Lonchura striata: one gene and its partners. The protein of the gene in region 2 interacts with the protein of the main gene of each other region in a pairwise test. Links are inferred from orthologs where the notes say so. Each region holds a gene or a part of one and is shown on either strand. Other genes may lie near its edges.

Region 1 (8,210 bases), on a different chromosome or scaffold from region 2:
CTTGTTTTTTATGCAACATTATATATATAGATATATATACATATATATATGGCAGTTGCACCCTATTAATGAGAAAACTATCTACAATTGCTGTAATTTAAGATTAAGGGAGTCTTTCTTTCTTTGTGAGTTTTCCTGTGATAGTCAAGCTGAGGATTCTACCTATATATATCTATATAAGATATATTTAATATTTACCCTACTACAGAAAATGTTAGTCAAGACTCACCATATTCTGCAGTATAATAATAATTTCATAATTTCTTTATAAATCTAGACTCCATTAGAGTAAAATACACCTCTGGAAAGAAGCTCAGGGAAGTGGATGATGCATCTTTGTCTCTGAGAAGGTGAAATTCAGAAAAGGCTTAGGTAAATTTCCTGAATATACAACAGAATATTTATCTCTAGCTTTGATCCAGGGAAAAAGGAAAGTTGTTTCCTGAAAGGGAGGAGAGGAAAGTTTTTGGATTAACACCACATGGTGAGGGTAAAATCCCAGAGGGATGTAACATATCTTGGGGAAAAAAAAAAAAAAAAAAAAAAAAAATCAAAAAAGCCACAACCCCAAACAAACACAACCCCACAACAATAAACAAACAAAAACCAGAAAAATAAACCCCTGAATAGATGTAAAATTCTTATTTTCTGCAAGATTCTAGCCTCAGCCTGATGTAAAACAAGGTAGACATGATTTTAGTTTCAAATTAGCTGAGACTCCTGTAGTGTATTATTACAGAAAAAAAAATTAATTGGAAATTCTCAGTGTTTTAGGAGTGGGAGAAATACAGATTTGTCTAACTTCACCTGAGAGTCCCAGGGCAGTGGGAGCTGCTTAGGGCAGTGAGCCAGGAAATGCAGCAGGGTCATGTGTGAGAAAACCTCTCTCATCCACAACAATCCCTGACCCTCTCCTACCTTTTGATTGCTTGGCATTGCACTTACTGAGGTTTTTTTTTTCAATTATTTCAAATTGCAAGAGAGCAATGCTAACAAGCTGTATCTAGAGCTCAGTAAAAGAGAAAAGCCAATATGGCTGAGAGGGAATTTTCCTCAGCCACTCTTCACTTCAAGTAGCTGCTGCATGAAAAATGAGATTCCTTGACCAAGCTTGCCCTCTGCAGGCCTCTTCCTCTCTCTGGCACTGCCAGATTTGTTCCTTTTCTACACATTAAATTTAATGTGATGCTGACATAACAGCATTTCGACATTCCTTCCTTTTTCTGTTTGTTTGTTTTGGGGTTTTTTTTGTTAGTTTTTTTTTTTTTTAATAAAATAGTAACTACTTAAATAGATATTTGGGGGCAGCTCTGCATTCTTAGTGCAACTGGGTCCCAAACATTAATTGAATTTGCCCAAATAGCTCCTGATTAGGTTTGCTGTTATCTGAAGCAACGAGCTAATGGAGATGATGCAGAAGGGATTTGATATAACCCTGGAGCTGTTTGTTCAAGTAAAGCTCCCAGCACAGGCTGTAAGCAGCATCTGGTCTAATGAGCCACAGTGAGAATCCCACCGACTGCATCTCTTTTACTGGATAACAAGGAAGAGTCATACTAAAATAGGCTCCTGGTGAAGGCATTGAGAGTAAATACAGCCCCTGGGAGATGGAGGAGAGAATATTTTGCAGCTCCTCACTTAATGTCTGATAAATAATGACCTTTTAAGAATATCTTATTTTTAAACTAAACTAAAAAATCATTGCAATGGCTTTTAATTTTCATATTTATAAATAAAAGCAGGTAGAAGTCAATACCATAAATCAGTTTATGAATGACAGCGGTTTAAGTATTTCACTCAATGTCCTCTGTACATGTATGTGATTCTTTGAAAATAGGACTGAAAGATAAATAAGGTAAAGATGTGACTTTAAAAATAATTAATGCGATATAACTAAAATGTGAAGCCAGCAAAACTAAATTAAAAAAGAATCTCTGCATAGCTATAGCAATTTGGGTTGGTTTTTTTTTATTTGAAATTGACATAACATCATCAAAATCTCTGGTACAAATGAAACCACATTATCAATCCTGCTTCTTTGGTATAATACATGTTAGCTGAGCTGAGAAAGACAGAAGCTATGCCACTTAACACTTTTGCTTCAAACATTTTGCAAAGAGAAGTTCTTTAACCTCTTCCTTTTTATAACACTCTATGTGCTTGCAAGAGGCAGAAAATATCCATTCATTAATAGTAGTAATTAAATGTAATACTATCTCTTCAATAACAGTAAAATTGTAAGAAGTGCACTGGGGCTCTCCTGGGACTCTTTGATCCTCATGAATTCTGAGGATTCCAGTCCTGAGAAGGCTGAAGAGCCAGAGAGGTTTTGCTTCAAGCGGAACCTGAAGCCCACTAGGAGTTCACAGATCTATACCAAAAGCTGATTTCAATTAGTAACTTTAATCAGTAAATTCCAATGAAAAAATACTTTACTGGAATTTTTTCCCCTGATTAGCTCAATAAAATATGCTCTTTGAAACAAGATCTGACTTGTGCTGCAGGTTTAACAAGGGCTAATTTAAATAGTCCCTCATTACAGTTCCAGTGTTAAAGAGCAAATTAATGAAACACCTATGTTTAGAGGATAGCTTTCAAAATTCTGCAAATAAAAATAAATAGACTCCTGTTTTGAAAGCTGGTGTCTGGCTTTTAGCCAAATAACAGGATAACAGAAGTGTGGAAAATCGAGATGTGTTCATTAGAACAGTCTCAAATGGAGCCTCACTGGGCTGCATGATGGATTCCACCTATTTACTACAGACTGAGTAAGAAAAAGATTCCTACATTCATGGTACATGAGCAATTTGCCTAAGAGTTCTTAAATAACTTGTTTTTCATACAGATACTTGCAAGTACACCAAAAAATGTGGTTTTCTCCTGCATTCGCATTAAAACCATCCAGTAGATGGGGCCACAGAGTTGCACAAACCACAAAAGAAAGTAAAATTAATTCATCCTAAGAAAAACTCTCCTAGTGCAAATAGAGCTTGTTAATCCATTAAATTCTAATGTCAGGCAAATAATTTATTTGCTTACATCGTGTCTTGACTGTATGACTCATTAAGCTCTACTCAAAGGCTAGTTAATATGATTCAGTTTGATACTGAAATAATTACAGCTGTCAGCCAACAAAAATTACAGCTGAGATCTTAATTTTCATTCATCGTTTGTTCCCAAGTATTGTACAGGTGTGAGATAGGCTTGTGATGAAGCGACACAATGGAAGTCATTGACAGTAATTGTAGCAAGAACGTCCCACACGTGGAAAGGTGTGTGTTACAGGAGGTTCCTGCAGGACACAAAGAGGGTGACTTTATCAATGGAACTTGGAGGCGCCGTTGGGAATCTTTCCCGTTTCTCTGAGATCTTTGCTCGTATTCTTTTCACATGTGCGGATCAGGGAAGAACGTGGGGGTTTGGAAGCGCCTGTCGGGAGGCTGAGGGGCAGCCCCGGGGCTGAGCAGCGGTGGTGCAGAGGCCGAACCCGGGTCTGCACATGGGGCGGTGCAGAGGTTGAACCCGGGTCTGCACATGGGGCGGTGCAGAGGTTGAACCGGGGTCTGCACATGGGGCGATGCAGATGTTGAACCCGGGTCTGCACATGGGGCGGTGTAGAGGTTGAACCGGGGTCTGCACATGGGGCGATGCAGATGTTGAACCCGGGTCTGCACATGGGGCGGTGCAGAGGTTGAACCGGGGTCTGCACATGGGGCGATGAAGAGGTTGAACCCGGGTCTGCACATGTGGCGGTGCAGAGGTTGAACCCGGGTCTGCACATGGGGCGGTGCAGATGTTGAACCCGGGTCTGCACATGGGGCGGTGCAGAGGCCGAACCCGGGTCTGCACATGGGGCGATGCAGATGTTGAACCCGGGTCTGCACATGGGGCGATGCAGAGGTTGAACCGGGGTCTGCACATGGGGCGGTGCAGAGGTTGAACCCGGGTCTGCACATGGGGCGGTGCAGAGGTTGAACCCGGGTCTGCACATGGGGCGGTGCAGAGGTTGAACCCGGGTCTGCACATGGGGCGGTGCAGAGGTTGAACCCGGGTCTGCACATGGGGCGGTGCAGAGGTTGAACCCGGGTCTGCACATGGGGCGGTGCAGAGGCCGAACCCGGGTCTGCACATGGGGCGGTGCAGAGGTTGAACCGGGGTCTGCACATGAGGAGGGTGAAGGGGCCGAACCCGGGTCTGCACATGGGGCGGTGCAGAGGTTGAACCCGGGTCTGCACGTGGGGCGGTGCAGAGGTTGAACCCGGGTCTGCACGTGGGGCGATGCAGAGGTTGAACCCGGGTCTGCACATGGGGCGCAGCGAGGTGCGGGCACCAGAAGCGGCTCTGAGCGCGTTCCTGAGCTTCGCCTCACCGAAAACCAAATTCCTCGTGGAGTCAGCCGTGCAATCCCACCTGGGAGCCGGCTGAGCCACCGCTGCCGATGAGCGGGGGGCTCGCAGGTTAAATCCTGCGCACGGGGCAGGAGAATGAGCCCGTGGCTGCGTGCCCCGGGGAGGACAGGCGCTGCTTTAGGTCCAGCCGGGGTGAGGGGCGCGGCGTTGGCCCCGGGTCGCCCGAGGGCAGGGCGACATCGAGAGCCGGCGTAGGGCGCTGATGTGAAGGACGGCTTGGGTTCCGAGGGAAGGCTGTGCCTGAGGGCTGCCGGGGGCAGCGCTGCCAGGGATGCCGGGCTGGCTCCCGTCCCGGGGGAGGCCCGGGCGGGAGCCGGCCCCGCTGCGGGGCGGTGCCCGGGCCGGAGGGGCCGCGGCGGCACCTGGAGCGGCTCCGCCCGGGCCGGGGAGGGAGCGGCCGGGTCGGGGCGGCCGCAGAGCCCGCGGGACGCTGCCGGCAGCGGGCATGGCGTTCGGGAAGGCTCCGAGGGACGCGTTCGGCACGGCCGTGGGCAGCCTGGTCGGTGAGTAGCCCGGAGCGGGGCCCCGCGCCGCCCCTCTGCCCCCGCCGGGCGCTGACCCTCGGCTCCCCTTGGCCTTGCAGAGCGGGCGACGCTCGGCTCGCTGCAGACGGAGGAGTGGGGACAGTTCCTGCACATCTGCGACCTGATCAACGCCACGGAGGAGGGGTGAGCGAGCGGCTCGGGGGCAGCGCGGCAGCGAGCGGCCGGCGTGGGAGCCGGTGTGGAGCGTCCCGAAACGAATAGCGCAGAGGGACAGCTTCGGTTCCGGGCAAAAGCTGTGCCTGCCGCGGGGCCACCAGGGCTTTTCGGGATTAGGCTCGGAGGTTCTTCCCCGTAGACACACGCTAGAGAAACTGGTGACAGAGATTTCTTCGCTAGAGAAACTGGTGACAAAGATTTCTTATCTGGGTCTGACGTGTTCTGTACAACCCGTACTGCTCGTCAGGCTGAAGGGCTGTCCCTGTGCTCTGCAAACCCACCTGGAAAAAGGCTCTGAGCACTTGGCTGCCCACAACACTATTTAAAACTCTGTAGGCTCTTCGCCTTGGAGCTCCCTCCCCACCGTGCGGGGTCTCCGGCGGGCTGTGCCGCAGCCGGGGTGGAGGCTGAAGGTGGGCTGGGATCCTGCGGTGGGGTCCATCCCTTCCAGGTGTGCTCCCAGGACTGAGCTGGTCTCTAGCACCGGACGGCCACGTCCAGGCTTGCTCAGCCACTTGCTGCTCTGAACTTCCTTGTTTCCACCTGTTAAAGGGGAAAAAAGGAAACTTGTTCTCATGCAAGATCTGCTTCAGAATTGCATTGCAGGAACTCATTCTAGCAGTGGCATATTTTAATACTAGCTAAAGAGTTTTCTCCAGAGCAATGAGGTATTGTTTACTTTCTGCACAGGTGTCTTTTTTAATGTATCAACTTTTCTTTCCTTGTTTTGGACTCCTCTCACCCGTAGTTCTTAGTGCTTGAAAGGTCAGTAATAATGACTTCCTTCTGGTTATTACCATAAGCAACAACACGCTCTGGCCTTCAGTGTTAGTTTTTATGTAAAGTTTCCATGCAACCGAGCCATTTTTTAATAAACTGTTTCCTTTTGTGCACAGCTTAGGCTTGCAGGGGAGTTCCTTGTAACTTCCTCCTAGGCAGCTACTACTAGTCACAGTCTGTAACAGGATAGTAGGAGCAGCAGAACTGCTGCATCTAATTAGGGAAATGGTTATTTTAATGCAATATCCAGCCCCTGTCCAGAGCATTTCCAGATGCTTCAGTGAGGGAAGCAAGCAGGAGTGGGATTATAGTACAGCTCTCTGCAAGGGAAACTTCTCCACTCCTGTGCCTCCATCTATCACTTGATGCTCTACTGATGTGCCTGGGTATGATGCATGATTAAGAAAAATAGAGACATGTCTCTTGGTTTGTTTTTTCTCTTTTTCTCATGAAGTATAGCACTTCAGACAAAGAGATGCAGTAATGGTAAACACCCACTTAATTTCACTGACTTTGAAATTATTTCAACAAAGATTACTTTTTATTTTTTTAGTGAAACATTGTATTTGGGCCTCTTGCTCCATCTTAGATTCTAGAGAGATCCTAAAGAGACGTTAGGACATCTTGTTTATGTTGATCATGAGTGTTGGGCTGGCCCTAATAATTGTACACTATAGGTAGTCCATATTGATGAGGCAAAACTGCTTCCCACATGTGATAACCTCGATACCATCTTCCACCCTTTTCCTCCTACACAGATAGTTAAAAGATACGGGGAGTATATATAGAAATGAAAATGGATGGGTTAGAAATGCCCCTATCTCTGGGCTGGAGTGGGTTGTCCATCCGTGGTAGTTACTCAGATGAGTTAAGTGCATCCTGCAATTATAAGATTGGAAGCTACCCATGACACCCCTACTCCTGACAACACTCCCAGGAGAATATTTTCTAATTGCATCATACAGGCAAACTGCCAGTCAACTCTTGCTACATCTGGCAATTGATATTTCCTTTCATGGCAATAAAAGCTAGATAAGTAATTCTGTTCTAAAACAGTGGAAAATGTAATTTTGGAGCAGCTTTTGCAGAGGAGAATAACTTCATTTCTCTGCACAAGTCTCTGGAGTAATGCACAGTCTGCTGTAACAAACCTGATTCACTGCTTTGTTGCTCTAGTTCAGTGCTGAAGAGATTTTGCTGAAATCAGTTGGGCAATTGCTCTGGTTTTATGTGGGTGTAAACATGGGGTGGATTTAGTCTTGTATCTCAGGCTGATATTTTTGGTTCTTGGATGAAGTTATGAACTAGAAAATTTCACTGGTAACTTTTCCTCTTTCATTTCTTGTCACAGACCTAAAGATGCAGTTAAAGCACTGAAGAAGAAGCTTTCAAAAAACTGTAACCACAAGGAGATCAGGCTTACCTTGTCTGTAAGTACAGCTATATTTATATTAATTAGACACTAAGAAGGCAAACAGTCTAAACGATAAGGTGGCATGCAAATTATCCCTGACACAACTCTCCAGGATGTTTTCAGTCTTTGTTGTTTGTGTGCACAGCACTGCCACAGTGCAGATCAAATGGTTTGCTGGCATTCCATGGACTCCTGGATGATGCAAATTCTGGTGGTGAGGGGGGCTAGGGGGATGGGTGGGGAGGTGACTTGTTCTATGTAAAAGTAGGATAGTTCTTATTTGCTCCAGCGACTGTCCTGTGAGAGCCCCACCTGTTTGTGAAAGACACGGAGGTTAGGATATTACATAAAAGCTACATTTGACCATTCTATTACTCACCTTGTGGTGCTGATCTTAGTCAAACTAAGCACGGTGTGCAGCATTGGTGGAATGTCTGATACGTGCTTGGTAAAAGGAAATGTTATCACAAATAAATGATAAACTTGAAGGAAAAGGTGGGTTACATAAGGGAGCAAGAGGCAGAGTGAGCTGTGTGAATTTCAGATGTTATGGCTAAAGGTTGGAGTGTCTGGGAATATCCTTACTTGACATGTGGTCTCTAGAATCTGACAGTGTTCCTGAACTGCCCCAGGGTTTGGGGAGCTGTTGTGATTTCAGCCAATTTAAGATTTACTTGTTAATGCAGGAAGTTCTAATACTGTCCTAAGTCCTGAATTTCTGACTTGAATTACTCTTGACTACCAGTGGTTCTACTATGACAAGAGTAATATCTTTTGCATTTTAAGTTCTTGAGAATTAATTTTTCGTTAATCGGCTAAAAGTATTTTCTTCACCATTTCCTTTTTTGAGGTTTTAGTGGCCTATCTGCATCACTTGAAGTACTGTTACTCATGGGTTTGGTATTT
Region 2 (8,357 bases):
GCAGCTTGTTTTTAAGCAAACCAACCAACACATTGATTTATTCACAGTTACTGCAGGTAGGTATTTTTGCCAATCAAACATAACAGGTATACATTGTATAACAACAAGAGCAGTTGAGAGGATGCAACTCAATAAAAACAAACAGGTCATCACACCTAGACAAGAATAATGAACTGAAGAAACATAAGATGAAGAGGAACAAGTAGAATAATTGCATGTCAGAAAGAGATTTGGATGTTCACAATGTTATTGTGCTGCAAAAAAGGCAAACCCTTATTGCAATTTATAGTCCATGTTATTATCTACAAAACATTTAGCAATTCTTCAGCTCTTGTGGAAGCAGTCTGTAGAGAGCTAGACAACTAAACTGGGATGAGACACAGCCAATTTTGGACACTTCATGGAAGGTATAGTCCTACTGGAGAAAAAAAAGAGGAATACAACAATGATTATCAGGCTTCAGAAAGGTATACTTGTTAGAAAAGGCTGAAGGAATTAGGATAGGTTTAATCTGACATTCCTCTGGCATTCCTCTGAATAGCTGAACTTCAGAGAAAAGAAATCTAAGAGGTAAAACAATAGCAGCTTTCAAATATATAAAAGGTAATTTCAATAGGAGGAACAAGTGGTTTTCTGTGTCTGCTGTGCAAAGGACAGTGATACTCTGCTCTTCTAACTGTTTGCTCATATCTTTTGAAGTGCTGTCTGGAAACGGACGTGTTACCAAAATAACAGTAAATAGAGTTTTGCACTGCTACAATTTCCCTAGTGCATTAAAAGTACATTTAAAAAATACAATTTGGGAAAAACATGGCAGAACTGGAGAAAAAAGAGAAAGTCTTCTTATGATTGTGTATTTGTCTCCTCCTCTGAAGCAGCTGGTGTCTGAAATTGTTTTCAAGGCACTTTCTCCTCACCTCTGTGCTGAATGAACCTACATAAAAACCTTGCACAAGCTTGATTTGAAATGAAATAACTCCCATTTTGGAATGAACTGTGTGATGAAGATGTAGTTATAAAATAAATCATGATTCAGCTCTAACTTTCAATTTTGTCCTTATTAAGTTGCTCAACCAGGTGTTGAAGCCAATAGAATTTGCTTTTCCTCTGCTGGAAAGCTATTTTGAGTGCAGTGTGACTGAAGAATAGCCACTTATTCACTGCCCGGCAGTGCTCTCGGCTTTGCTGCTAGAATCCCCCACAATTGCTCCAACAACGCTTTTGCCAATACTCGTCTGGCTCAATCAGCAGCTCTAACACTGGGGTACAAAATTCTGCAGTGCTTGTGAGGGTGGTAAGCTGCCTGCTGTTTAACAGCTCTGCTTCATGGTGTGGTGTCAGGAGGGAGGCAGTGCTGATTTTGATCTTCAGTCTGTATTTGTTTCTCTATTCAATTTATTCTCTTCTAGTCTCGGTGCAGGATAGATCCTGCACTATCCTGACTGAAATTCCTGGCTAATGCTGCCGTGTGCTGCTCCAGTGTTTCATGTTTCCTCCATGATGGGGGGTGCAATTCTTCTGCATGCCAACTGGACTTTGAGGATTAATTAAAGTTTGCAATGCACTGTGAGTACCTTGTACACCATTGAAGTGGAAATTATTGTTTGTTACAGCCAGTCCGAACACCATCTGGGATTTCCATGTTCCTGTTTCAGCTCAGTTGTATGTTACCAAGCTTGATCTGGCACCATGAACAAAAGGTTAGCATTGCAATCTCTAGTTCTGTGTTTGGTGCTGTTTCCAGCCCCCATGTAAGTCTGCATACATCCCAACAAACTGTGCTCAGCACCCCAGGACTCCAAGAGACTTTCTATAGCTGCAAACCTGAGACATCCCGTTCCTTTTTCTGCACTTGCACTCTGGTATGGGTTGGATCTACAAAGCAGTGGATCCCTTTGTCCTTCTCCACTGTCACCCCTGCCTACCTTTAACTTCAAGTCAGCTTGGCAAGACTGTGTATGGAACGATGGTGGAATTGGGCTCTGCACTTCACAAAAGATGTTCTTCCCATGCAACAGAACTGTCCCTTTTTTGTGGCATCTGAAGTACTATAGGGACATGGCAAAAAAGGGCTAATACTGCCCAAGATCCAAGCCAGCAGTGGAAGTGATGCAGACCACCCACAGTATGATTAAGTTTTGTAGGTATGTTCATAGTACCTATGAAACTTAACCCAAAACCTGCTTTACCACTGTGAGATCCTCTATGGGTCCAGGCGAATATCTCTGAAACAGACAAATCTCAGCTCTGATTTATTACTCTGCTTTTATGCACCAGCTTTTGCACAGCTAAGAGGATATTTTAAAACCTTCTTGTGACTTCACTGTTTTTGTAAATCACGGTAAGCCAATGGTGTTAAATGACTGTGGAAACTCCCCCAGTATCAAGCTAGCTACTCAAAATGGCATAAAATGTAATCATTCAACACACTCATGAGCTTTCCCTGGGGAAGAGATGAAGTAACAAGGAGTTTGAAGTTTACTTCCTAACTGAAGGTTTCCAGTGGGTATCCTACCCAAAACACTGGGAGGCCTGACCTTCTGAAGAATGCACTATTTTCACAGAGGTGTAGTTCTCTCACCACACTAACTGCTGCCATTTACATGGTTAAAGTGCCATCTGACAGGTTTCAGAGACCGACCCCAATGCCAAGTGCTAAATAAACATGTAATGAAAGTTGGACATTATCCACCTGAACTTTGCGCTCCCTCGCTTTCCTGGTAGCATCAGGCTCTCCCCAGCCTTTGAAGTGTCTCTTCTGAGTTTCTGAACAAGCACAGAATTAATTTGGCAGGAATTCTGCAAGGGCAACATTATATGCATCCCTCTTCTCCTCTGGCACCTTGAGACAGTGGTTTCTGATTTTATGAAGAAAGCTTAGGCATTATCTATGCTTTCACATTCTGGAGCCGACCTAGGGAGAAATGTCTATTTCATAATTTTCAAGCAATCCCGTGTATTTTTTTGCCTCCACACATCTACAACCAGATGTCTGGTTTTAATCAGTTTTTACCTAATGTCTTCAGAGATACTAAGCTATTAAAAATTCATAAAAAGAGGCAAATGGGCCTATCACAAATCTGAAGGGTAGATAAAGAACTGGGAACAACAGAGAAGAGACTCGAAATGAGAATGAAAGAATGATACAGGAGAAACTGATGTCTAAATGTTTATTACAAGATAAACGCAATTTATTGTCATTACAGCTTCTTGATTACCTTTCAACCTTTTCTTAACGATGCCCATATGTTGCAAATAAGAGGGTTTTATGGCTTTTGTTCTCTCACCTTTCCCACGGCTCCCATTCCCGCTTCGGTTGCTGGGCTGACAGCGGACGCGCTGCCGCCCGTGCGCCGCCGGCTCGCGGCGGCCCCGGGGCAGCCGCCCCGCTCGGGGGCCGCCTGTCGTTCCCGAGACGTGCGCCAGGTGGCGGTGCCGCCACCGCCGCGCCGCTTCCCGGCCACCGGCAGGCACCCACTCAGGACCGGGGGAAGCTTCTTTAACAAATCACTCAAAGTATGAATGTTGCGTAAAGGCAAGTTATTCGAGGTTTCTTGAGAACAATAATAAAACGGGAAAATAAAAAAATTAAGTTGGAAAGTGGCAGCACCGTCAGGAAGGGACAATGCTCGCTTTAGTCATTGCACATCTCTGTATGGGGAAAACAAATCTCAAGAGTTTCTGAATTAAAATTACAATATTTTTTCTGTTTATACAAATTTCATAGAGGCAATAATGTCTTCCATCTTATTTCTTTGAAATTATTGTGACTAGACGAGGTCTTGGAGTGAAATCCATGGTGAGTAAAACTGTAACTGCTCATGACTCACCCAAAACTAATTTTGTAGCTTGTGTGGTTATAGGTGTCAGAATACCAATGAAGCTTGTTAACACTCTTTTCCTTCCATCGTGCACTCATGATGTCAAGACTGCGACGTCGTAATAATGTCAAGACTTTGTATCCACAGAGGAAGACTTGGGGGTGATGGTTGATGACAAACTGAACATGAGCCAGCAGTGTGTGCAAAGCCAGCTGTGTCCTGGGCCACATCAAAAGGAATGTGACCATGAGGGAGAGGAATTGATTCTCACCCTTTACTCCACTCTTGTGGGACCCACCTGGAGTACTGCACACCCCTCTGGTGCCCCCAGCATAAGAAGGATATGGAACTGTTGGAGCAAGTCAAGAGAAGAGTCATGAAAGTATAAAGGAACTGAAGCACCTGCTCTACAAAGACGGGGTGAGAAAGTGAAGGCTGTTCAGCCTGGGGAAGAAAATGTGAGGAGACCTAACAGCAACATTCTGGTATCTGAAGGGGGCCAACAGGGAAGCTGGACAGGGACTCCTTGTAAGGAGCTGTAGTGACAGGACAAGGAGTAGTGGGTACAAATAGGAAGAGTGGAAATTTGCCCTAGAAGAAATTCTTTACTGCAGGGAGGGCTGCCCAGAGAAGCTGTGGGTGCCCCATCGCTGGCAGTGTTCAAGGCCGGGCTGGATGGGCTCTGCCTGGGATAGTGGGATGTGTCCCTGCTGGCACAGCAGGGCTGGAACCGGGTGATTTCTAAGGCTCATTTCAACCCTGCAACGTCCTGATTCTGTGCAGTAAAAAAGATGAGGCTGTTCCCACTGCAAGAAAATGTTAGTGGAGAGTGGAGGCAAAAAAAAAAAAAAAAAGGGTGCTATATTTGGAGCATTCCTAATTGCACTGTTCTATTTCCAGCTGCCGAAATCCGCGCTAGAATTTTAATTAATAGCTAAAATTGCGCAGCAGATCCTGACAACAGGAAACAGCCCTAACAACGGGAAACAGTTATGTTATTTAAACAGGCTTTGAAATAATCAGATTTTATCTCCCGAAGCAGCACTTGGATGAATATTAAAGCTGCTTTTGTTCTCCCGGAAAGGGCTGTGCTTGATCAGCAAGCTCTGGGAAGCCCACCGGGGCCAGGCCAGCAGTGAATGAGTCGTTCCCTTCCGCACAGGGCTGGCAGAGGGGCCGAGGAGCGCCCCGCGGCCCCTCACGGCCCGCACTGCCCGCGGGGCGCTCCGGCCGCGCGGGAGCGGCGCCGCCGGCACAAGATGGCGGCCTGAGGCGCCGCGCCCGCCCCGCCTCCGCCGCAGCGCCGCGGCGCCCCCTACCGGCCGCGCCGCCCCCGCAGCGCCGCGCTCCGCTGCGGCGGCCGCAGAGCGCAACAGCGCACGCGCGGGACGGCTGCCCGCCCCTCCCGGTGCGCGCAGAGGCGCATGCGCAAGGCGGCGCCGCTGCGCTGCCCCGGAGGCGGGGCTCGCGCGTCAGGTGACGCGGGGCTCGCGCTGAGTGACGGGCGGCGGAGCGGGCCCGGGGCAGGGAGCGGCACCGGCGGCCTGGCGGGGCGGGAGGAGGAGGAAGAGGAAGGGTCTCGGCCGCGGCCCCGGCCAGGCGCCATGGCGACCACCGTCACCACCCAGCGGGGCCCGGTGAGTGCTGCGGGCGCGGGGCCCGCTCGGGGGTATCTCCTGTTACCGCTCGCCGCGCGGGGCGGGCGAGGCCCGGCTTGCAGACCCCGATGGGCCCGCCCGGCCTCTGCCGGCGCCGCTGTGGGAGGGAGGGAGGGAGGCTCCGTGTCTCTCAGCCTGCCCCAGCTCCGGCCGCGCCAGAGCGGGAAGAAAAGCCCTCTCATCTCCTCCAGGCTGCTGGGATGCGGGGGAGGGAAGTCTGCCTTGTCTCCCGGCTCCCCGCCTGCCAAGAGGCTTTGGGGAAGGGGAGGGGAAAGTCCCTCCTAACTGCGCGGAGTCCTTGCGGCGGCTCTCCTGCACGTTCTTTGTCCACAGGCCTTTTCAAGGGGGGAAACGGTTACACGGAAAGCCTTTCCAATGAGGGAAATGCTTACAATGAAAGCTAAAGGCCTTTCTCTTGGAAGCGGAGCTCGGCGGGCACGCTCGGGCCGCTGTCCCTGGAGCTGCCGCCGGCAAGCTCCAACGGCGCGTCCCGTGCAGGATGTAGGCGTGCGGGTTGGACGGGAGCTGAGCCGTCTAAAACCGATTTACCAGCCTTCTGGGAGCTGGTGCTGGCAGTTTATTGAGAATATGTCACTGTCTGGTTTTGCCCAGGGATAATCATACCTCACACCGGGATGTTCTGCATATGAGGTGTTACAACATCAGCTTTCAACAGATGTGCTGTTCCTGTCTGTTCCTCCTGTCTGAAAGGATCTGGTAGTCATTGACAGTATGATATTGCTTATGGTGAAATGAGGGGTTTTTAAAAAGCAGTAAATGTACACTGCTGTATTTTATTATGTAGAAACAGCTACTTAAAAAAAATTATGCAGCCTTGTGGAAAGAACAGTGAGGTGAATTACTGCTATTTGAAAAACTGCACTGCTGTCACTTTTCTTATGACAGTGCCTTATTTGTTTTATTTATCATAACTGCTTAGACTTTCTTGAATGTTGCAAGACATCTCCTAGATGTCTTGTTCTAGAATTTCCCAGGTAGTCCTGTATAATCTATTGGCAATCTTTTGTTTCCTAGACTTGACTGAAGCCTGACAAAAGGCATATGATAATTTATCTTATACAGCTTTGACTTTCTGGGCTTCAAGTTTAGTGTTTTTTTTTAATGTCTTGCTGACATTGTTGAACATCCTTTTCTTCCTTACCCACTTCAGATATTTGAATGTTTTCAAATGAGTGAATAAATTATGCAATATTAAGCAGGCATTCACAGCTGGGAGTGTTGATATGGTCCATCCCAGCCTTTCTTAATTCTTTCCAGAGAGGAAAATAAAATTTACTGGTTTCTGTGTGCAACTGCATTACAAATGATTAGCCACTAAATGGTGCTAAAGGATTGGGAACCACTTTTTTCTTTGCTGAGGGAGAGAACAGTTCAGTCTTTCTGTTTGAACAAGCAAGAAAATATTCAAGGTTGTTTCACGTGGGTGAGAAACTACTGTGAGTGGGCTGTTGCCAGTCTTACACCTGCACTTTCTAATTGTGATGCTGCTTACTTGGTGTGTAATGAAAATTTTTTAAATTAAAATTTGCTGTTCAGTTTTTCCGATGAAACAGAATTCATCCTGTCTGTTACTTTAAATACTCTGCTAGAATACAGATATCTCTGACCCTTTTCAGGATGTTAGGGAATTAGTGCATTTTCACATTTGTAATCTTGTATGAACAAATCAGCTTTTTAAATCTCAACTATAGCTGAATATGCAAGGATTTCTAAGTGATACCTTTTACAAGTAAGATTATTAATAAACAGTTTGACCAGGCTTTAGATTAAGACTGAGCCACCAAAACTTTATATTTGTGATTCCTTATCTAGCCAGTCATAACCAAAATTACTCTTAATGGTTATTCTCCACGGTTATCATGGTTACCATGCTGGCAAATGCATCATGTCCTTCCAGATTAGATTAATACCAACCTGGGACTGCATAGACTTCTGCTCCTAATGTCCCTAATAAACTCTACTCTGATGAGTAGTGACAGCGTTTTTTTCTTGAGACTCTTCAAAACTTTTTACAGACCCTTGTCAAAAGTCCCTTTCCAACTTTCTTGTAGGCTCCTTCAGGGACTGAGAGGTGCTCTGTGGTCTCCCAGGTGGAGCCTTCACTTCTCCAGGCATAGACACAGATGTCATATGGACACTCATTCTGTCTTTTATTTTTAACTCATGCTGGTATACCATAGTTCCTGCCATTCTTTGCAGGTATTTATTGCCCCCTCCTTTTTCCCATGTGAAATTTGCCCCATTTCAGTTTAATGATTGACATCTCCTTTCTCTTTGTGTTGCATCTCGGAAGACAACCTTTCTCAATGACTTCTTGGCAGACACCAGAAAGGTGCTACAAAGGTGCATTCTAACTTTCTTGTATTCCAAACAAATCCTCAGCCTGGCATTGCAAGTGCTCCAGCCCTTTTCATAGGTCTTCTTGGTGGATCTTTGCTGGTCTCCCTGGAGTTCATTGTTTTTCATGTACTGCTGGGCCCCAAATTGTCAGTGTTCCAGGTGTGGTCCAGCAATTGTTTCCTTTCCTCAGCCCATTGGCTGGGTTCTTGTTGATCCAGTGCTGTTTTCTGTTAGGATTCATTGCTGCAAGTGTCCTCTGCTCATCCATGCTTTGCTTGCTCTCCACCTCTGTAGAGGTACAGGCAGTCCTGCTGGTTGTTCTCCAGTTTGTACCAGTGCCATGGATTTTTCTGGTCAAAGTACAGGTCTTTGCCCTTGTTGAATTTCACACAATTCCTGCCAGTGAATTCTTCTGTGTCTCTAGTTGGTCCTGTCCTAAAGTATACCAGCCATTTCTTGTAAAATTTAGTGTCAGCCTCAAAACGGATAAGGATGCCTTTTGTCTTCACCTTTTGTT
Region 3 (7,752 bases), on a different chromosome or scaffold from region 2:
AAATTATTTCTTGCAGAACACCCTGATTCTGCCCTTTAGTTCTGGATGTAGGAGTTTATGTACAGATTTTTCTCAGGGGTGGTCCAGGTCCCACAGGAAATGCTCAGCATTAAATCATCCTTTATTCCCATCTTCTCCTTGCAATTATCTGTGAAACTTTTAAATGAGAGGAAAAGCTGAAGTTAGTCCATGCAGAGTCCACACAGCCTGAAAAGGACTTCTGCCTTATGGGGAAACACAAAACAAAGGGTGAGGAAATGCCCTTAGAGGGAATTTTTGTGATAAATCTGACACTGTCTTGTTTCTTGCAGACTCTGCCCTGCCACACCAATGCCACAGTTGTGGTCACTCCCACAGGGCCAAGATAAGGCACTTCCATGTCAGTGGAGTTATGCAAAGGCTCACTTTCACTGTTTCACTTATTGAAATGTCCTCTTCCCCTGCCAGAACATCTAACACCTACACTCACCATGACTAAGGGCAGGATTTGCCTTTGAACTAGTACCGAGCAAGCCAAGAGTCCAAAAACAGTCTGTGAGGTCTCTTGGGTGGCTGAGACAATTGTACAGCAGCAGCTGAGCCACTGCAGCCTTTGGGCAAACAAAATAGGTGAGTGTGCTTCAAAACACGGTGCTTACACTGATCAGCTGGTGTTTCACAAGTGCCTCAGTCATCTGTGGAGCAGCACAGTGCAGACAACAACTGGGTGGAAGAACCCATTAGACATTTCACAATGTTGAGGATATATTTAGAATTCCAGCCAGCAGCGTGGCTGCAGTTCCAGGGAATGCTCTAAGCTGTGCATCTGTGTAGCTGCAAGCAGTCACATAAGGCTACAAGGATGGGCACTCCTTGGGACAAGGATGACACCAAGCCCTTAAGGACATAGGGGTTGTAGGTTTTGGAATGCCTGCAGCAGCTTTGAAAACAGAATGCAGGCTTCTAAATCACAGAGGTGTTTCCATAAATATTCCTGAAAGTCACCCCTAAACACAATACAAACCTTGGAAACAACCTTGAAACCTCAGTTTCCTGTTCCTGCCACATGAAATGTATTCAACCCAGTTTTTAAACATTTGAAGGATTGTTTTGCAGCTCTGATACTCAGGCATTTTGACATTTGACAGTCAAATAAGGAGACACACAGACAGCTGACAGCCTTCCCAAGGTAAGCTCCTATCAGTCGTGTTTGAGAAGGAAGGTGACATCCTGGTTTATCACAGATTGCTTTGCACCTGCAAAGGCATCCACCCTCCTCTGTCTGTATCTCACCAAGCCATACAAGGTGAACCAGACTCTCCAGGCCTTCTATCTTTTCAATGACGTTGTTGTCCAGCTGCAGTTTAGTCAGATTCTCTAATGGCCACAGATTATCAATCCGCAGGATGTCTAAAGCCACAGGGAAAAAAAAAAAGGAAAGAAAAAGAAAAGAAAATTGCTTTTCACGTGAGCCAGCTTTGTTTTAGCAGACACACTGCCTTGCACAAGGAAAACATGTCCAGTCTTGCCTCCAAAAGGATTTTCAGCGTGTGATGAGTGCCCTGGAGAGCTCAGAGGTGCAGAGATTTCAATGAAACAGCCCACTTAACCTCAGTGTCCTGCACCAGAGCACGCTGCTCATCAGCGAGGCCAACGAGGCGTGCAGGGGATGCTGACTATGGCCCTGCACTCCAGTGCCTTTATGAATCCACTACTAGGAGGCCTTGACCTTCATTTTCCTCTCCAGCTCCAAGCAGGAGGTTTGGGATGAGACTCTGCTTTTCTCTGCATTTGCAGTCTAGCAGTGCCCAGCTCCTGCTTTTGTAAATGACTCTTCTGCTCCTGGGATTCTCAGCACAGGAGAGGAAGCTGGAATCTACTTTTTTTCTGTGAAGGCTGCAGTTTAGAACTAATCAATATCCCTGCATTTAGTTTCCTCCAAAAACAGAATCACAAGGGCAGGCTGTTAGTCACCACAGCAAAGTATCAGGACCAAGGTGACAGGAAATACAGAACATTCTCACTCCCATTTCTCTTTTGCCCTGCAATGGCTTCCCAGAAGATTTCATCTGCTGTCCTGTTATCCTTATTTAGTGAGGGCACCATAAACTGAGGAATTGCACACCCAAAATATTCACACAGCTCTGGATTTTTTATTTGCAAACAAATCTATGCAGGATCAGATCAAGGGAGTATTTTCTAAGAAAATTGACCCATACATACATTATTTTACTGAAATTACCCCCCTCCCTCAAATACTCAAATATTGAGCCAAATGTTCTTCCTCTACCTTTTTTTTTTTTTTTTTGTGTGCAAGTTTACAACTTGACAGGTTTGACAGTAAGAGGCACACCATGGTAATGCTACGGATGACCAGAGAATGACATCAGATTGGACTGTAAATCACCAAAATCTCCCAAACAGCTCCCACACAATCACCAGCCGTGGCAGAGCCTGCCCAGGGTTGGGTTTGGCCACGAACTGAGGGGCCCAACAGGCCTGTGGCCTGTAGGTGTCACCACAATATAAATGTTAAATGAGAACAGCAGTGACGAGAAGAGGGAAGTGAAGCAGTTTTGAAGTCACTCATCAGCAAAAGTTCCCTCTGATGAAGCTCCTGTGTACAGCTGTGAGCTAAAGTCCAAGTCCAGATGTTAATTTTCACATAATAAATCCAAGTTAATAATGGTTGCTTAATTGCCAGTTACCCACTTATTCTATTACCTTCTAGCAAAAGAAGAGGCAAAATATGTACATATTCTGATACTTACTTTTAAAACTAAATTGTAGCTCTGTTACAACCTTAACATTAAGACTTTCTTCTCTGGCAATATCTCCAAGGTCCTCTGGACATTTCTCTTCAATGGCTTTCTGAAGCATTTCATCATCAATAATTTGTGGCTCAATAATATTGAAAAACTGACTCATTGTGAGACAAAATCAGCCTTAAAGGACAGAATAGAAAATAAAGTAAATCACTGCCTAGCTACTCTTTCCAGCAGTTACAGAATCCCAGAATAGTTTGGGTGGGAAGGAACCTTAAAGATCATCTCATTCCATCCTCTGCCATGTGCAGGGACATCTTCCACTATCCCAAGTTGCTCCAAACCCCATCCAGCCTGGCCTTGGACAATTCCAGGGAAGGGGAATCCACAACTTCTCTTGTCAGCCTGTTCCAATGCTTCTTTCAGTGAAGAAATTTTTCATGGAAATTTAAATATCCCTAATGTTTTATATATATTATACATTATATATATCATATATCATAATATATATTATATATTATTTTATATTTATTTATGTATATATATATGTATATTTATATAATGTAATTTAAATATCCCTAATGAGACTATTTGTCTTTTTCAAATGGTGCAGAGTTAATGAATTGCTGTGAAGGACTTGAATCTTCAAACTTTTGCTTGTGTAAGATGTTTATAATTACAGGGTAAGTTCTGATTTATTTTTGCATGGGCCAGCGATGATAAATGTCAGAGTTTGGAGAGGTCTGTCCTCATTATGGCATTTCATTAACAAACCAAACCTCCCTGTGGCTGTGTGCAGTACAGGCCGAGGAGCAGCCGGCCTTGGATTTATCCATCCTTCACCTTCCTCTCTCTCTTTCTGGTACAATCACAGAAAGGACTGGGTTGGGAGGGACCTTAAAGCTGCCATGGACACCTTCCACTAGCCCAGGCTGCTCCAAGCCCCAGCCTGGCCTTGGGCTCTCCCAGGGATGTGCGCTTGTCGCCGGTTCCGAGCACCCCTGCCCGCCGCCTCTCGCTCCAGGACCCACCGAGGATCAGATTCCGGCCTATCAGGGCTCTCACCCGCAGGTCCCCTGGGGTCTGGGTGGGTTCCCGGTTCCCCGTTCCCGGTTCCCGGTTCCCGGTTCGCCGTTCCCGGTTCCCAACAGAGCCTCAGCGCCCGTCGCTAAGGAAGCCCGGCTGGGTTGCTAAGGGCGGCACGTGACCGGCTCAGCCGCCAATGGGCGTGGAGTGGGTGAGGAGGCCAACGACTAATCAGAGTTAGAGAAATCCGTGTCAGCCAATCAGCGCTGGGACCGTGCCCTAGGGGCGGAGAGGGCTCTGATGATTGACGTTCCGTTCTGCCCAATAATGTTACAGATCGTTTAGGGCTTTGCCCAATAAGGAATGGCAGTCTCATTGTCCTCGCTGTCCATCAAAGTGAGGGCGGGGAAAGAGGCGGGACTACCGCGGGGGCAGGACTCTGACTTGACAGTGATGGACACGCTTTTTAACCAATGGCTTTGCCGCGCGTCCTGGAGCTGTCCAATTGAACGCAGGGAGACGGGACGCGGCCGGCAGAGCGCGCTGTGGTTGGTGCGCGCGGCTGTCAGTCAGGGCGCGGTGCGGGAGGGGCGGGCGCTGGGCCGCTGTTTGTTGTCATCCCAAGATGGAGTTTCTGCTGGGGAACCCCTTCAGCACCCCGGTGGGGCAGAGCCTCGGTACGGCGGCCTGGGGAGCGCGGAGGGGCCCGGGGGAGCCCGTGGAGACAGCGGGGGCTTCGGCCAGCGGGCGGGGCTGGGGGCAGCGGGGCGTTCCGGGGGTCTGTGACGGGCTGTGGGGGCTCGGGGGGGTCTGTGGGGGGCTCTGGGGGTCTGTGAGGGGCTGGGGGGGTTGTGAGGGGCTGGGGGGGGGGTCTGTGAGGGGCTGGAGGGGGCTCTGTGGCTCTGTGGGGGGCTCTGTGGGGGTCTGTGAGGAGCTGTGGGGGCTCTGTGGCTCTGTGGGGGGCTCTGGGGGCCTGTGAGGGGCTGGGGGGGCTCTGGAGGTCTGTGAGGAGCTGTGGGAGCGGTGGGTGGAGAGTCCCTGAGAGCCCATGGGGGAAATCTGGGCTCGGTAAGGGGCTCTGGGGCTTAGTGGAGGTGTTTGGGTGTTATGGGGGGTCGGTGAGGGTTGATGGGGGTCTGGGGGTGGCCAGGCTGCTCTGGGGGCTCTCGGGGGTCTCTGGGGAGCAGGGATCTCAGGGCTGGTGGGGGCTTGGAAGGGCTGGAAGGTTTTTGCGTTTGGGGAGTGCTGGAGGCCTCAGTGCCGGACTCTGGGGTTAGTGGAGGGTATGGAGAGATCAGAGGAGGCCTGGGGAGCAGGCTGCTGTCCATGGGAAGAGACTGACTCCATGTCGAGATGGATGCAGGAAAGCTGTTGCATCCCCCAGCTCCTTTTCCTGAAGTTGAGTGCCTTCTTCCAGACCACCCCATCATTGATGCACTCTTTCCCAAAGTACTGAAACCTCCCTGTCCCTCTTAGTGGGCGAGGGGGTGATGTGGTTTAGAGACACAAATAAGTGCTCGTTTTTCAACCTGGAGGCTGAATTGTGGCTTTGGTAATGCATTGGTGCCATTAGCAGGTTATTCTGAGCCAGCTTTCACTGCGTGGCCACTCAAGGCCTCCCTGGGCTGCTGTGGCTGATCCCTCCCTCCCACAGACGTGTTCTTTCATGGCTACTCATGTTTTGCTCTGGGTTGCCATGGGGCAAAGAAGAGAAAGGAGAAAGCCTGGGCATCACTCATGCAGAGTTTGGTAACTCTGAGTTTTCACCTCAGCTGGGTGGGCTCTCAGTGCCTCCTGCTTTTCTCTGCTGGGCCCTGAAGAAATTGAAGCTGTCTGACATTGCAGGAGCAGGCTGGCTCAGGTTCCTGCAGTGCAGGAGGGCAGGCAGTCCCAAAGCCAAGGTGATGCTCAGTTGAGCACGCCTGCTGCGAGGGAAGGCTGGGAGAATTGGGATTGTTCAGCCTGGAGAAGAGAAGCCTTGGGGTGACCTAATTGTGGCCTTCCCATATCTGGAGGGAACCTGCAGGAAAGATGAAGAGAGAGGATCTGGAGTGACAGGGCAAGGGAGAATGGCTTCAAACTGGCAAGAGAGTAGGGGTAGATGGAATATTGGGAAGGAATCAAGAAATCCTTCCCTGTGAGGATGGGAAGGCCCTGGCACAGGTTTTCCAGAAAAGCTGTGTCTGCTCAGTGCCTGGGAGTGTTTCAGGCCAGGTTAGACAGGGCTTGGAGCACCCTGGGATAGTGGAAGGTGTCCCTGCTCGTGGCAGGGGTGGAATCAGATGATCTTTAATGTCCCTTCCCACCCAAACCATTCTGTGGTTCTATAACCCACAGCTGTGCATAGCCTAGCCTCTAGCTATTCTAAGTTGATTTATGGAATGATGGAAATCTTTGAAAATCATAGTGGAGAAAACTTTGCAGAGTATCAGCTCATGGCCTCAAAGCTCTTTTCTAGTCCTTTCCTCATCCCCATGTGCAGGGACACCCCCTGGTCGAGGTGTAAGGGCCTTGCATGGGTGAGTCTCACACTGTGCTTTGAGCATGGCTGGGCCCTCTTTGTCAGGCTATATGGAGCATATGTATAACTTGCTGTTTATCCTCAGCCATCTGGGCTGCTTATTTCTTCTGCTGAGGGAGAGAAGTGCGGGGAATCAGAGGAGAATAATGAGAACAACTCAAGAGAAAGGTGATTTTAGAGTGAATTTGTTTTGTTGTGTTTGGCCATCACAACAATACCCAAAAATACGTGTTGTAATACCTTCATAAACTACAGTCTGCTTTTGTCCCTATAAAATTTTAGAGTGAATTGGCTTTGTTGTGTTTGTTGTGTTGTGTCCTGGCAGCCCTGCCAGGCCTCTGCCATCAGCCTGGGGAGGGCAGGCAGCAATTTCTCCTCTCTTCATTGGCAGCTTCTTTTAGCATCAGTCAGTGGTTTGAATTGTTGGGGGGCAGGGAGGGAGGAGTAAAATCTGCTTTTTTAGCCTTCTGCCTGTTTAACTTCAGAGTGCAAAGGTTTTCACAGCTCTCACATCCCTTCGCTCGCTGAGCAAGCGGCCGCTGCCAACTTTGAGACTTTGAACACTGAACTGCTTCCATCAGATAAGGTTAGGTGTGCAGCTTCCCTTAATGCAAAATTCAGCTGCACTTTCACAATGTTTTTCTTTACTCCCAGGGGGAAGAGATAACTGCAGATTTTATTTTGGAAGACAAATTTTTCTGCTTCTCCTATCGCTGCCAGTTATCCCTTTCTGAGACAGCAGTAAAACAAAAGCATGCCTTGTTCTCAGACACTGCTATTTGCCCAGTGCTTCCACAGTTTGTTTTTCCAATGAGCTTGTGGAATATAATTTTCACTTATGCTTCTCTTCATTCTCTGAAAGAAATGGAATAATTTTGTATTTCTGTTTAAACATATTGTGTTGTACACAGTTGTGATGTTTTCAAGCAAGGCCTAACACTCACCATAAGGGAGAAGTGCAGAAAATCCTGTAGGTCCATCAGCACACCAAGAATGTGTGTTCTCTGCCAGGAAGTAGCAGAAGTTCACGAGAAGATTTAATTAGGGCTCTACAATATCTGCAGATAAATACCAGGTCTGTAAGAACAAAGATGTCAGAAAAGGTTTGAGGAGAGCTGAGAGAGGTAATACAAGGGATTTTCTCTTTTCTCCTCTTTATCTGGATAATGTCTGAAGTTAGGCAGGCTTTTTATGTTAACTCTTTTGCTTAATGTGGGAAAGTAATGCTAGGATGAGCTCAGAGGATTTGTAATAGAGATGGATAGAGTCTCCTGCATCTAAAGTGCCAGTTGAAATGGCAGCCAGGTTCCTCATGGCGGAAACTCACATGATTTTTAGACTGGCTTATATGGTACCCTCTATTTAATTCCCAGTGGTGACACAGCAGAAACAATATAAGCCACCACAATATAAGCCAATTATAAACCTCACCTAATTTTGCTATAATACTTTGATTGACCT

What was found. The genes of interacting proteins can lie anywhere in the genome.
Region 1: the proteins of TOLLIP (region 2) and TOM1L1 interact in binary tests that used the Homo sapiens proteins (3 or more experiments, as listed by UniProt). The link is inferred for Lonchura striata from reciprocal best matches to the Homo sapiens genes TOLLIP and TOM1L1.
Region 3: the proteins of TOLLIP (region 2) and TOM1L2 interact in binary tests that used the Homo sapiens proteins (3 or more experiments, as listed by UniProt). The link is inferred for Lonchura striata from reciprocal best matches to the Homo sapiens genes TOLLIP and TOM1L2.

Annotation. Positions count from the first base shown.
Region 1 is NC_134621.1:7,132,582-7,140,791, forward strand, and holds the start of TOM1L1 (TOM1-like protein 1), read left to right. Parts: upstream 1-4,798; 5' UTR 4,799-4,854; coding exon 4,855-4,912; intron 4,913-4,992; coding exon 4,993-5,077; intron 5,078-7,241; coding exon 7,242-7,320; intron 7,321-8,210. UniProt on the Homo sapiens protein: Probable adapter protein involved in signaling pathways. Interacts with the SH2 and SH3 domains of various signaling proteins when it is phosphorylated. May promote FYN activation, possibly by disrupting intramolecular SH3-dependent interactions.
Region 2 is NC_134608.1:45,932,948-45,941,304, reverse strand, and holds the start of TOLLIP (toll-interacting protein), read left to right. Parts: upstream 1-5,257; 5' UTR 5,258-5,425; coding exon 5,426-5,458; intron 5,459-8,357. UniProt on the Homo sapiens protein: Component of the signaling pathway of IL-1 and Toll-like receptors. Inhibits cell activation by microbial products. Recruits IRAK1 to the IL-1 receptor complex. Inhibits IRAK1 phosphorylation and kinase activity.
Region 3 is NC_134618.1:15,628,114-15,635,865, reverse strand, and holds the start of TOM1L2 (TOM1-like protein 2), read left to right. Parts: upstream 1-4,340; 5' UTR 4,341-4,395; coding exon 4,396-4,447; intron 4,448-7,752. Other genes in the region: DRC3 (dynein regulatory complex subunit 3), read right to left, coding at 1,273-1,389, 2,751-2,907. UniProt on the Homo sapiens protein: Acts as a MYO6/Myosin VI adapter protein that targets myosin VI to endocytic structures. May also play a role in recruiting clathrin to endosomes. May regulate growth factor-induced mitogenic signaling.